Linked DNA regions of Caenorhabditis elegans. The protein of the gene in region 1 interacts with the protein of each later gene in a pairwise test. Each region holds a gene or a part of one and is shown in the gene's direction. Other genes may lie near its edges. The genes, in order: iars-1 and lin-36.

Region 1 (7,405 bases):
TAGAATTTTAACTAAAATGAGATCCTAGCTGGTAAAACATTGAATTGATTCAATAAGACAAATAGGATGAGAAAGATAACAAAAACACAGCAAACAATAAGGCACTAAATCAAGGACTAGTCTATATTAACAATTTCAATCTTTTATTTTTGACTTCTTGATTCCAATGCTTTTCTTCCATCGTGGTTTTTGACAAGTGCATCCATTTTTCGCCACCATTCAGCAATTTTTTCTTCTAAAATAACTTCTTTGAACGCTGAGCATCCATAGAAAGAATTCATAGCTCCATATAATGACTGAAAATATATCAGATTGTAAATCCTTCTCCAAAAAATCAAACCAACCAGATCAGCTAGATTCGGTTCATCTCCTCCTAAAAACTGTCTATTTGGTCCAATTGCTGCCATCCAGTCACGACAAGCCTTTCTCAATTCTTCTCGTTCATCATTGATGTTGTGCCTTTAATATCAGAAATCATGATATAAACTTCTAACTAACTTACTTTTTCTTCAATGTTTTTGAAAGTAAAAACATTGCTGCTGCACCCACGTATACCGCTAGAACTCTCTCCCAGGCTGGAAAAGTACGATGCCAGTCGCCAACTTGTTCGAACCAACGGAATGTCTCGACAGACTCATTCCAATTACGATATACATTAGGAGAAATAAGATGGATGAACCAATTGTCCACCCATTCTCTCCATTCCCGCTCTTCTCTGGCAGAAGCCATATTTGCGTCCCCGTCTACTTTTCCCTTCATAACGAAGAATTTGTTAGGGTAGTTGAGAACCTGAATCAGCAAGGATGTTTTAAAATTGCAGAGTAATTCAAAAACCCACTGGCTTTCCTTTCTCGTTTGTTGAATCAACTGCTGGATACATTTGTATTATCTGGTCGAGTGACTGATCGGGTCTTTGAAGATATGTTGCCAATGTGGAAATAATCAAAGTAGACTCGGTCATAGTTGTCTCGCCACTCCTGAGAATTGGAACCTGAAAGAAAATAGATAAAACAACCGGAAATGTGAATGAAAACTTACTTTTTTATAAGTTGTGCTAAACTTGATCTGTGATCTAGTGACTGGATTTACTTCTACAACCTCATAGGAGAATCCGTGATAATCTAAGAAGGCTCGAACCTGTATTTTTGATTAATAGTTTTCATACTTCACACAAGAGTAACGCACCTTGCAACAGAACGGGCAAGTCTCGTATTGATACAATCGGAGCTTCAAGTTTGACTTATCCAGGTGATTAATAACTTTTCGACTGAGGAGGACATCATTCTGCACTTTCTCGGGTTGCTGAACTTGAATTGGGCATGTTCTGAGTTTTGCTGTTTGGATATCGTCCAGCTTTGATCCTCCCCACGAGAATCCAGCCAAAGAAGCAATCTGGACTGTCCGTACACCAAAAAAACGCATCTGAAAACTAAAAAATGAATTTTCAGTTCATTAAAAGAAAACGGGCGGAAAAACACAACGGATCGGTTACATTCATACAAATTTCACTGAAAAAACGCAAGAAATGCGCTTTTTCTCGCGAGAAACCGTTTTCCACTACGGGGAATATCAAATTTAAATCAGCTTCATATTAACTTTCACTTTATTTGTCTGAAAACGGACTGTAATTCATAAAAAAAAATTTTCGGCGAATTAAAAAGACGGGAAATCGTGGCGAGACCCTGCTGAATAAATGCATGCGCCTTTAAAAAATTGTTTTATTTGGAGTTCCCATTTTCCAGTTTTCTTCTTATTTTGATCGGTTTTTCATGCAATTCCGATGTTTTTTGTCATTTAAGTTTGTTGAAAATAACAACTAAATAACATTTCATTTAACTCAAGTACTTATCTGACTGCTTTAGAAGAGGTTCCCATGTTTTTGGTAGTATTTCATTTGTATACATCTCTTTCTACACTGGAATAGTTTATCTCACGCTACTGATGGTGTCAATTTAATGTTTTCTTACTAACTAGATGAAAACTTGGTAAAATTACTCGAAGATGTGCCTTCTAGATACGAAACTATGCCTTAAATTGTCCTTGATAACGTTTCCGTTAACACCACCAATTATTCAAATAAATATATCATATTTTAGTATGACGAATATTTAAAAAATTACTACTTCCATCAAAATTTCGCAATACGCAATAAAGAATGTTGCATCAGATTTCATGTGATTGCGTTGTTATTTATGTTAGTCGCCTAGTGTCTAACTTTCGCATATTTAAAATTTACAGGGTAAAAAATGAGCGGCCTTTCGACCGTTCCCGACAACATCAATTTTGCCAGAGAAGAAGATAAAGTCGCTCAAAAATGGCAAGATGAGAATACTTTCCAACGTTCTGTTGAGTTAGTTTTTTTTTAAATATTCTGGAATTGTTCACATTGAAAAAAAAAACGTTATCTTCAGGCTGTCAAAAGATCGTCCACATTTCACTTTTTATGATGGACCACCTTTCGCTACTGGCCTTCCTCATTATGGTCATATGCTTACCAGCACCATCAAAGACGTTGTTGGTCGCTGGGCTCATCAAAACGGTCACTATGTAGAAAGACGGTTTGGTTGGGATACTCATGGTCTTCCAGTCGAATACGAAATCGATAAGACGCTTGGAATCAGTGGTCCACAAGATGTCATGAAAATGGGAATCGCTAATTACAACAATGAATGCCGAAAGATCGTTATGAGATATTCTGGCGAATGGGAGAAAACAATGGGACGTCTTGGTCGCTGGGTAGACTTCAAGCATGATTACAAGACTCTCTACCCGTGGTTCATGGAGTCTGTATGGTGGGCTTTCAGCGAGTTGCATAAGAAGGGCCTTGTCTACAAAGGTGTAAAAGTTATGCCTTTCTCTACTGCTTGTTCTACTCCACTCTCCAACTTTGAAGCTGGTCAGAATTACAAAGATGTAGTAGATCCAGCAGTATTCGTCGGATTCAAATTACTCGATTGTCCGAATAGGCAGCTAGTTGCATGGACAACAACTCCATGGACACTTCCATCCAATCTAGCTCTAGTTGTTCATCCAGACATGCTGTATGTGGTCACTAAAGATAAAACGACTGGAATCGAATACGTTGTTCTGGAAGAACGTCTCGGAGAGTTGAAAAATGATAATTTGGAAGTTATTGAGAAACTTGCTGGTAGTCAGCTCAAAGATCTCAGGTATGAACCATTGTTCCCATACTTTGCCTATATGCGCGAAGAAAGAAACGCATTCCGGGTATTGAATGACACTTTTGTCACCTCTGACTCTGGTACCGGAGTTGTTCATCAAGCACCATATTTCGGAGAGGTAAGATTCCTTTTTTTCTTTTCTTTTTTTATATAAAAAATACTTTCCAGATCGATTTCCAAGTTTGTGTGGCGAATGGAGTTATCGCTAAAGACCAAAAAATGATCTGTCCAGTTGATGAAAGTGGAAAATACACATCAGAAGTTCCAGATTATCAAGGAGTCTACGTGAAAGATGCTGATAAGTTGATTATCAAGAGACTCAAGGAAATGGGAAATCTTGTCAGACAAGCGGAAGTGAAGCACTCCTATCCATTCTGTTGGCGGTCTGACACTCCACTTCTCTATAAGGCTGTTCCATCCTGGTTCATCAACGTCGAAACCCTGATTCCAAGGCTTCTGGCTAACAATGATGAGACATACTGGGTTCCCGCTTTTGTCAAGGAAAAGAGATTTGCTAACTGGCTTAGAGATGCTCGCGATTGGGCTGTATCGAGAAATCGGTTCTGGGGAACTCCAATCAATTTGTGGGTGAGCGAAGATGGAGAGGAAGTTGTATGTGTTGGAAGTATTGCTGAATTAGAAGAGCTTTCAGGACAAAAAATCACTGATCTTCATAGAGAAAGGTTTGTTAAAAAACATGTTACTATTCATAAAATACGATGACTTTATAAATTAACAGTGCAAATTTCCAGCGTTGATGATGTTACGATCCCATCTCGTTCAGGACGGGGAGTTCTCAAGAGGGTTTCCGAAGTTTTTGATTGTTGGTTTGAATCAGGATCCATGCCATATGCCCAGAATCATTATCCATTTGAGAACCGCAAAATCTTCGAAGACAATTTCCCAGCTGATTTCATCGCTGAAGGAATTGACCAAACCCGTGGGTGGTTTTACACACTTCTAGTTCTGTCAACTGCTTTGTTCAACAAGCCACCATTCAAGGTTCGTACAATTTCAATATTTTAATTTAAATCAAAAATGTTTTCCAGAACCTGATCTGTAACGGACTCGTATTGGCGTCGGATGGAGCAAAAATGTCAAAGAGTAAGAAGAACTATCCCGATCCAATGCTCATTGTTAACAAGTACGGAGCCGATGCTTTGCGTCTTTATCTCATCAACTCTCCTGTGGTTAGAGGAGAAAATTTGAGATTCAGAGAAGAAGGCGTAAGAGATCTTCTCAAGGATGTGTTCCTTCCATGGTTTAATGCCTACAGATTCTTTGTACAAAACGTACAAGCATATGAACATGTAAGTTTATTCATGTTGAAACAATTATGAGATTGAAATATTATCGTTTTTAGGAAACTGGAAATGTGTTTGACATGAACGTTCATGTTGCCAGTGAAAATGTCATGGATCGGTGGATTGAATCCTTTACAAACAGTCTTGTTGCGTTTGTTCGGAAAGAAATGGATAGTTATCGGCTTTATGCTGTTGTTGGACCGCTTACAAAATTCTTTGACACTCTTACAAATATCTACATCAGATTAAATAGAAAGAGAGTCAAGGGAGACAACGGACTTCATGAGCAACATCACGCTTTGGCAGCCCTCGGACGAGTTCTCATTTTGATTGTTAGATTGATGGCTCCTTTCACACCATTCTTCTGCGAGTATATCTGGCTAAATTTGAAGAAAGTCATTGGTTCGACTGAGGAATCAGTTCACTTCCTGATGCTCCCAAAACCGGATGAGAGTCTAATCGACGAGACTGTGGAAAGACGAGTTGAAGTTATGAGAAATGTTATCGACTTGGTTCGTCTTGTTCGCGATCGTGAAGGACTTGCTGTGAAATATCCATTGAAGGAAATGATTGTTATTAACAGAGACAGTCAGTTTTTGGAAGACGTAAAAAGTTTGGAATCATATATTCTTCTTGAGTTGAACGTCAGAAAATTGACCGTTTCACAAGATAAACAGAAATACGGAATCACCCTAAAGGTATTAAAATTTCAAAAAGTTTGTTCAAAATATAATACTTAAAATTACAGGCAGAGCCAAACTTCAAAATTCTGGGTGCTCGTCTCAAGGGAGAACAAAAGAAGGTTGCTGACTACTTGAAGAACCAAATCACTGAATCTGAGTTGGAGAAATTCCTTCTTGAAGGAAAATTGACTGTGCTTGGGCATGAGCTCTCCTCGGAAGAAGTTGCTGTTAGCTACGCGGCTGGAAGTGATCAAGGACATGGATACAAAACTCACTCGGATGCAAAGACCATTGTAATGATTGATACAACTGAAGATGAGTCTCTTATTGAAGAAGGACTCTGCAGAGAAGTGACAAATCGTGTTCAACGTCTTCGCAAACAGGCTAAACTTGTATCTACTGATACTGCTCATGTTCATATTGTTGTTAGTCCAGCTGATTCTCAACTCGCAAAGGTTGTTGCTGCCAAATTGAATGACATTGTATCCGCTACTGGAACACCTATCAAGTTGGGATCACCACCAGCCGCTGCAAAGGCTCCAACTGCCACCAGCAAGAGTGCAATTAAGGATTCAGAAGTTGAGGTAAATTCCGTTTTTGTTGATGTTCTCTAATATTCCTGAACAATTATTTTCAGCTTTGGTTGTTCGCCGAAGGTGACAGTTTCGATGGGATCACTGTTGTTGATGGATCAAAGAAAGTTCGAGTTCATGTGAAAACAGAAAAAGAACACCTGAAGGGATATGCTGATCTTCTATATCACGTATGTTTATCGGGTTTTCCTAGAAATTTAAAATGTTAAATCTGTTTTTGTTTCAGGTTCGCTCTGCTCTTGATCTCTGGAACGGTAAGATTGCCTTGAAGAATGTCGATGGATCGGCGGTCCATCCAACAGTTGACGTGACGTCTCTTGTTGGTCAGACTCTTCAACTCGTACGATAAATTGCTATTACATCTTTAAATTATCCATATCCGGTTCGCATTTTAGTTCCTGGCTTTATTTGAACCCATTTGAACCGCAGTTTTTCTCATATTTGTTTCTTACACTATTTTGTTTGCTGTTAACGTATAATATTTAATTATGAATGTTTAAGGATTTTAATGTAGAAACTTTATTATCAGAGAAATTCAGCTAGCATTTTTACACGCTCTCAGTTTAGCAGGATCAATGTCACTAACGATCTGATGTTCTGTACGTCCCTCTTTCAATTTGATGTTTTTCTTCTTATCTCCTTTCTTCGGTTGTTGTGGTAGATATCCTTTCCCCAATTTTCTGAACTCCTCTACCGCCTTATCAGCAATTGCCACAACATCATCTGCCAAATCAATGTGATCTCTGAGAATATCTCGAATTGGTGCTTCAATAAGAAGCGTAAAGTGTCCAGAAGAAGCGATGCTGCTCGCAATACAATAACGGAGCATGCTCTTCGAGCAAATTGCCTGAGAATTACACTCCCGAATGACATCTCCAGATTTCAGATGGATGGATGCTAAGCTGTTTGGAGTAACATAATCAACCTGAAAATGAAATGCGGTGGTTACTGTAAGTTTAAATTACCTCCAAACGATCTCTATTGTTATATTTGACAAATAATCCCAAGTCAATGAATTGCATTTCAGGAGTTGGACGAACTTTTATGAGAACCTAAAATAAGAAAGTTTTTTTTTTAATTTTTAAAAAGCTGTCTCACAAAGTAATGGTTAACAGGATTTGGAGTGATTCTCTCTAAATCTCTGTCAATTTGGATTTTCTCAACAGTTGTTCGAATATGAAAACACCAGGAAAACATGTTACGTTTCAGTTGTAGATGAATATTCTGAAATTTTCGTTTGCAAACACTCGATTCAGAAATATTAACACCTCAGTTTTCTCTTTCAACTTTTGGTGCAACTCGTCACTAGTGTGGATAACTTTTTCATCGATTGCAGTGATACAATCACCTAGAAATGCTTTTCCAATAAGATGTGATTCAGGAAGGACATGTGTGATCTGAATATGAATTATGTATGGTGTCCCAAAATCAAGATCAAGAGCTCAAGAATTTGAATAAATACTATTTGACAATTACCCGACAATCCTGCTTGTGTACACGAACTCCTATTGGCTTTCGAATCATGAAATGGTCGATCAATTCCTTTGGCAAAAGCTTGTCAATGTTGAAATCTTTATCAAGAGCCAACTTAATTCATTTATGTTTATTTTGAATCGTTTCAGTTGTCTTACGCTGCCGCTTTC
Region 2 (7,232 bases), on another chromosome or scaffold:
TTTTATCGAAATCCTCTAGAATATCATTTGCCTCTCGGATGGCGGTGTTGAATTTTCGCTCACATTCACCTGAAAATTGAAAATTAGAATTCTGTTTGGAAGATGGGAAAAATAAATTAATGAATCGAATTAACGAGAAGCCAATTTTGTAACCATGTAAACGGTTTTCATTACGGACAGCTTTCGCATGACTGATCTCCGAAGAAATAATATTAATAAAGAGTAATTTCTTTATAACACTTACTGATATCAAAACTCATGCTGTTATCATCAACTGAATTTGGAGTTTTTGGATCCAACTTTGCGGAGAGTTGATCATTTTGTTGTTGATCTTTAATCTCATTTTCTTTTTCCACTATTACATTCTGCTTAGCCTCAACTTCTGGTTCGGGTTCTGGAACTGGTTCTGGTGCAAGTGCAGCTAAAATTAAAGCTGGAATATCCTGAGCAGGAGCTGCATCTGGAACTGTTGAAAGCACCATTGGAGTTATCTGTGGGGCTAATGGAGCAGCTGGAGGAGTTGGTGGTGGAGCACTGATTGTGACTTCAGGTGGTCCATTTGATACAGAAATAGTTTCAACTGATTTTAGAATTGGTTTATCAAATGCATCACTCAATACAGGTGCAGCTTCAATGATAGTTGCTGGAGTTGTTGGAGATGTTGGAACTGATGATTGAGCTGTATCTTCACGAATCCAAACTATATCATCTTCATCGTCAGCCATCTAAAAATAGAAATTGTACTGAGTTTTGATGCTTCATAAAGTAGAAAAAGTATGCGAGATTGGTTTTATTCAAAAAAAACTCTTGTAGTAGTAGTGATATGGATGGCATGTTGGTTGTTTTGTTGGCAATAGAGAAATTGGCAGAACGACGGAAGAGGGTTTAGAGGCCATTTTTACACTGTTTTGAGCCCGCCTGAGTGAGCATTAAACACTGAATAGTGTGTAAGATGAAGATACGCAGAGTTGCACACGGACTTGATCAGTGAAATCGGGGGAGGAGAAGGAAGGGATCCGAGAGATTTTAGACTTGAGAAGTGAAGATAGGTTTTTGGAAAATTGACACCTGGAAATTTAAGATTCATGCATGAACATTTACGCGAGCTACAATTTATTGTAACTTGATTAAACCATGAAACAATTTTTTTACAAATGCTTCCCTAGAGAGGCCGGATATTAAAAGTACAGATGGCAGAAAACTTTCATTTGTGTGAGTACGGTAGTCTGATTGTTTGTTATTGAGTTTAAGAATTTTTCACTATTTGTTTTTTAATGTGTTTCTTGTCTTTGGGGGTTTAAGTCGACTCCCAATAAGAAGTTATACCGTAATCGCTTTTATGAAGAGATGTCTAATGACTTGTCATCTTTGAAATCTTTTGCTCGTGCTAAGTATTGTATTCAGACGAATAATACATTATAATTTTCGAAAAATGTAATCACTTCACAAGCCAGGGCAAGAATTGCGCTTCTGTATGAGCTGTCACCAGATTATGATTTTTAATTGTGTACGGAAGAAAAATTGAGAGCATCTTAAGAGGAAGATGCATCTTCTGAAATAATTTTTCTAAATAAAAATCAGAATTATTTTTCAGCATTCCACCCAGATTACGTGTCTGTTATAATCGTTTCTGGAAGACATTCTATTAGATACCGTACCCCGAAAACTAGAAATCCTATTTCTAGTTTTCGGGGTACGGTATCTAATAGAATATGAGTACCTGAGTAAACATCACTTACTATACGCATATGTTTGCTCAAGCTTCTACTATACCTGAACCTAGAGAAAACTGTCTTCCGTTCGATTTAATTTGGCAACGAAATGTTCCAAGCTTATGATGTTCCCGTTGTAATTAATTAATTCCCCTGCTTTAAATCACTTATTGTTAACGAATATGTACTTCTCAAACTCCTGGTGTTATCTCCGTGGTATTTTGGATAAATTGGTGTCAATCATTTATACAAATGACCTGTCTCCATATTGATATCATCAATTCAACGTCCCTCCAGTTCCAAGTCGCTTGTTCGGCGAGAGAGCGTAGCAAACGGAGAGACGTCATAGAAAAAGTACGCAACCGCGCGTGGCGGTGTTTGCGTACATCAGATGAGTGGGAGCCAGAATTGTACAAAAATTGGCCGGACAATTATCGATTTTTACACTTTCGACTCATTTTTCACTTATTATCAATGTTTTTCGTTATTATTTGTATCTCTTGAGCGTTTTAAACAATTAAATTCACTGTATTTTCTGTTTTTGTGCTCAAAATGTGTAGAATTTGCAAAAGAAAGGCTTTTCCAAAAATATTTGATTGCAGGAAATGTCGGAAGAATTGCTGAGTACTAGACCCAGTAAAAGGGATTATAATGATATTGAAGAACCAGAAGACTCACACGTGACGGTGCACTCAGTTGAACAGGTATGGTGATAATTGAGAAACATTCTCGCCGCTTATGAATATCAATGCATTTTTAGGATTCACAGCATTCTGGTGAAGAATCCTCAACTGTAGACGCATTGCAGGAAACTGAGGGTGATGTTGACGTAATAGGAGAAGATGAGGACGAACACGATGTACGTTTACATTTTCATTCTCGTATTAATGCATGTGCCCATTGGCCGGAATAGAATACATCATTTTATTTTCAGATTCCCGTAATGCCAACTGTCACATCAAGTGGTGAAGTTCTTGATGAAAGCCAAGTCACTCCAACTAAACAAGCTTCGTCGTCACAACCAAGAGAAGAAATTATCCACGGCAAAGGCGAAAGTGTCTACTCCAGTTTTCCGTGCCAAGTTATTCCGGAGACTTTAAGCCGAATGACACGAACTCCGCCAGATGGAGAGCATTTAGAAGTGTACCGGATGTCAAATGGGAGACTGAGAATATATGTTGTTGATCATTTCAAGAAGTTTTCTCCATACTCCAATTTGACTCATAAGCCATGTACAGTTTGTAATCGAGTAATGAAATCGGGAGAGATGCATCTAAACTTCCCAGCAGACTTGGATAGGCGCAGAATTTGGGCAAATTTGCTTGGATTCAAATACAAAGATATTCTTCGCAGTAAAATGGGTCCTGTATCGTTTTCAATTGCTGCCGGTCCAATTTGTACTGAGCACTTCGCCGAGGAGTGCTTCAGGAATCACAATTTCAACAAATCTGCCATCGAAGCTTTTGGAGTTCCTGTTGCTATTTCACCAGACGTTAAGACGACACCGAGTAAAAAAAGGTAAGAAGAAAAGCTGGTTCTGCTCGAAACGAAAAAGCTTGTGAATGAATATGTTAGCTCGATTTTTGGCTAAAACATCCTCTTTCACGATTTTATAAAAGTTCCAGAGTGCCATGGGTCTGTACCGTATGTGAGTTCCACTCGTGCAGTGTTGTCGAGCTTCAGACACATCTTCTCAATCACACGGAGGAAATGCTCAAGAAAAAAGATAATGTTTTGGATGTAAGTTCAAGCTTTTTAGTTAATACTCTTATTTTATCACATAATTCTTATAACAAAAATTAATATTTTTCACAGGTCCCAGAAGCTGGCTTCATGTGCCCATTCTGTAGAAAATGCACATATGGTTACAAGACAATATCTGGATATCGTCGTCACTTGAATGCTGGCCCCATTCATCATTGTCATCTTCGTAGAATATATGAATTCGCTAAAATGAACTGCCGCGCTACTGAGTTGGATCCAGCGGAAAGCTGGGATAACTGGACTCGTCGCAACGTTTATGTGGCATATCACGGCTGTGAACCACCAGCAAATGAAATCGTACTCACACCTTCACCAACGAAAAAAGCCTACGTGCAAAATCCAGAAGAGCGTACGAAAATGGTTCACGATGAAGAGAAGAGAAAGAAGGCAGTGAGGACATTATCGTTTGTTGGAAAAGAAGGTGGTACAAGTGTGAATGATCTGAACGTAATGCAGCGACAAGTGTTTCTGCAATTGAGAAGAGAAGCAGAGATTAATACAAAAGCAGAAGAATCGGCTCAAGGAACGAAGGAGCAAGAGAGCAGTCAGAAAAAACATGCAGAAGAAGAGTCAGACGATGTTTCTGAACTGTAAGTTTTGTCAAAAAATGTTCGAGTTAGAGAACATCCTGCGTAACGAAATTTAAAAAATCTTACTAAATGGAAATCAAAGAAGCAATTAAATTTTTTAGAACTTCCCATCAGTCTCCACAAGCTCCAATGGGATCTGGTGAACGACGTAAAGCAACACGTCTCGCAACTTCCGCTACAAATTCACCAATCAAGAAGGTGGCAAAACACGAAGTTCCTGCTACAGCTCCATCAACTCCAGCTAAGAAACGGAAAATTTCACACGAAGAAGAACACGATCCAACTCCTGAAAGTGTAGAGAGAGAACCAACAGTTTCACCAAATGATCCACGTGAACGTCTTCGTTTGAAGGAACGAGATGAACAATTTGCCAAAATGGTTCAGAAAAGATCTCAGCAAGTTAAGCGATTGATCAATGCCAAACAATTCAAGAAACAAGAAGCAGCAACGAAGAAGCCGAGAAAGGCCTTGGCTTATAATTTGGCCAAAGGGATCGCTGCTACTTCTTCGGTGAGTTTTATTTACTGAATTTATTAAATAATAGATTAGAACTTAATTTGTAACTTTTGAAATTCCTCTTTTACTTTGTAGCATGTTGAAATTCGAATTACTAGGATAATGTTTTTTATTCAGACGGAGCCAGAAGACAAAGTGACATCTTCGGAGCAGACACCAGAACCGACAACAAGTCAAAAATTTATCGCCAGAAATACACGATCGAAAACTAAGGAGAGTGCTGTTCAAAAAGTTGAAAAACCAGCAACTCCTGTCGCAAAACCGGCACCAGTAGAAAAAGAGCCGGAAGAACGCCCTCTAAAATCAATGCTCGCGAGATCTTTTGTTGCTGGAGTTCGTCCTTCGATGGCTAAATATCAGATTCCATTAGAATCGTTCACAGCTACTGCATCACTTGGTGGAGGACGTTCATTATCTTCTGGAGTCATATCAAGACCACCAACTTCATCCTCTCCTGGCGGGATCTTTTCTCAAAGAGTTATGGGAGCTGTTGCACAAGAAAAAGGGCCTGCTAAGAGACCGGTAAGTTTAATATATTAGAATTATTTATTAGGAGACTTTGATATTTTTTCTAATTTATTGCTTCAGAGTGTGCTCTCCCGAAGACCACTGATCCTTTCACCACGAAAAAAAACATCAACTCCACGACCAACACTCTCCCATCACGAGTCATCGCCAAACTTCTCAGCATCTTCTCCGGTGGTTGTTTCTGATGAGTATCTGATTCCAGCAACGGATATGGAAGTTGAAATGGTCGAAGAAGTCATTGATTCTATGGGAAACTCATCGTCTGAAGATGTTGCCACTTCTTCAACATCTTCCGAGAGGCAACCGATGCTTACGCTGGCAGAGGCTCTTGAGATGGATGGTTCAAGTGGAACAGTTAAAGATCAAGATATGGAAGAAATCTCAAAAGAAATGATGAAAGATGCTCATTACTACAGAGCAATGGAAGACGCTATCAAATGTCGCACCGTGACGAAAATGCGCGCTGACATGAGACTTTCCCGTCATTGCATCCGGCAAATTGAAGCTGCGAGAGCCAGGTGAGCCCATGGGAGGTCTACTTTGATAAATCGTTTAATTTTTTGCAGAGCTCGTCTGTTTGGCGAAAGGACTGAAGATTATCAAATTTTCTACTCTAACGATGGAGCACAAGTGGTATGTTTTTATTAGTTTCAATTCTGAATTTTAGTAACAATTTTCGTTTTTTAAAAGATTTTATTTATGTTGTTCTCAATTTGAAACCATTTGCTTTGAAAAAATTCCGATTGAAACATCAAAAATCACTGATCACAACACAATTTATTTTAAAAACATGTTTTCTCCGCTATTTGGCGTTATCAATCAGTTTGTTTCATTCTTATGATTTTCAGCTCACCAAAAAAGATCCAAAATGGCGTGAACTTCAACAACAACAACAACAACAACAACAGCAGCAAGAACAATTTCCAGGACAAGGATCATCGGATTCTCAACAATAATTATTTTTAATTATCAAAGAAAGTGCCTCAAAATTCAAGATTCAAAAGTCAATTGTCCTTTCGAGGATCGCCCCACATTTCTTTCATGTGAACTATCTCTGTTTTATATCCACAGAAGTTATCCCATTTTACTTTCATTCGAAATTCTTGAAATCTGATAAAAACTCCGACTAGGATAGATTTTCGTCTAGATTTTTAGGATTTTCACATTTACTTTTTTCCCATTTTTTACCCCCCCTCCCCCCTATAATTTACTTTCCAAAATTAATAGTTTGTTTTACTTTCCATAAGCCCCCGCCCCCTCCCCAAAAACCACACTTTTTCTATCATAAATTAATCTGAATTATTCACAAAAAATGAGCCAAAGTCTATTTAAACGTTTCCCTAGTTTTCAATTACATTCAAGTTTGAAAGATATGTGCGTTTGTGTGCCAAATATGACTAAAAGTCAATAAATAAATGATTTTGCTTGGTAGGTTTTTGAAAAGAGTTTTCAGATTATTTTTTCTATAGGCTACCTGATTATCCATAACATTATATTTTGAAAAAACCATGAAAAATTTAAAAAAATCCTAAAATTTAGAATGGCATCACCAGAAGCATCGTCTTCTGGAAATACAGAAGATCTTCGTATCGAAGATTTATTCCATCAAAAACGAAATGAAGATACGATTGCTAAAATATTTTCGATTATTTATGCTCCAGTTGGTGAGATTTTTTTCAAATTTTTTGACACATTCCAAAAAGTAAAAGTTTTAAAAAATCAAAATTTCAGGTTTAATTATTCTTTTAATTCGTGTTTTCCTCGGTTTCCACACATTTATTGTTGCATGTCTACTCAGAAAATCTGCTGCTTTGAGAATGCACACTCTTCGAATTATGTGCTCAATTCTCGGAATTGTCGTTGAAAAATCTGGTCACAGGTTTGTGATTTTTTTTTTGAAAAATATTTGATATCTCCAAAAAAATAGAAACAAGTTACTGAAAAATTGGAAGCTTGCCGTATTGCCCAGGCGCAAATTTTTTTGCGACTTCTGTCCCAAAAGTGAGGTACCTGGTCTCGAAATGACAATTTTTTTGTTAAATACAAAAACATGTGCGCCTTTAAAGAGTACGGTAGCTTTAAAATTTCGTTACTGTGGATTCATTGATTTTTCATAGTTTTT

Evidence for each region.
Region 2: the proteins of iars-1 (region 1) and lin-36 interact in a two-hybrid assay, tested with the Caenorhabditis elegans proteins (3 studies listed by BioGRID).

Annotation. Positions count from the first base shown.
Region 1 is NC_003282.8:10,366,369-10,373,773, forward strand, and holds iars-1 (Isoleucine--tRNA ligase, cytoplasmic), read left to right. Parts: upstream 1-2,238; 5' UTR 2,239-2,246; coding exon 2,247-2,350; intron 2,351-2,411; coding exon 2,412-3,300; intron 3,301-3,350; coding exon 3,351-3,865; intron 3,866-3,934; coding exon 3,935-4,184; intron 4,185-4,231; coding exon 4,232-4,492; intron 4,493-4,545; coding exon 4,546-5,184; intron 5,185-5,234; coding exon 5,235-5,753; intron 5,754-5,806; coding exon 5,807-5,932; intron 5,933-5,988; coding exon 5,989-6,111; 3' UTR 6,112-6,269; exon of another isoform or gene 6,270-6,297; coding exon of another isoform or gene 6,298-6,687; intron 6,688-6,727; downstream 6,728-7,405. Other genes in the region: pges-2 (Prostaglandin E synthase 2), read right to left, coding at 144-296, 345-459, 503-789, 839-991, 1,039-1,137, 1,186-1,422; mpz-5 (PDZ domain-containing protein), read right to left, coding at 6,298-6,687, 6,728-6,814, 6,861-6,986, 7,031-7,159, 7,239-7,349, 7,394-7,405.
Region 2 is NC_003281.10:8,015,956-8,023,187, reverse strand, and holds lin-36 (Protein lin-36), read left to right. Parts: upstream 1-2,314; 5' UTR 2,315-2,317; coding exon 2,318-2,416; intron 2,417-2,472; coding exon 2,473-2,571; intron 2,572-2,646; coding exon 2,647-3,230; intron 3,231-3,331; coding exon 3,332-3,452; intron 3,453-3,527; coding exon 3,528-4,066; intron 4,067-4,167; coding exon 4,168-4,576; intron 4,577-4,699; coding exon 4,700-5,104; intron 5,105-5,170; coding exon 5,171-5,628; intron 5,629-5,676; coding exon 5,677-5,743; intron 5,744-5,958; coding exon 5,959-6,066; 3' UTR 6,067-6,540; downstream 6,541-7,232. Other genes in the region: F44B9.2 (uncharacterized protein), read right to left, coding at 1-69, 245-725; F44B9.5 (Lipid droplet-regulating VLDL assembly factor AUP1 homolog), read left to right, coding at 6,651-6,774, 6,842-6,989. UniProt on the Caenorhabditis elegans protein: Required to negatively regulate vulval development. Antagonizes Ras-mediated vulval induction. Acts cell autonomously.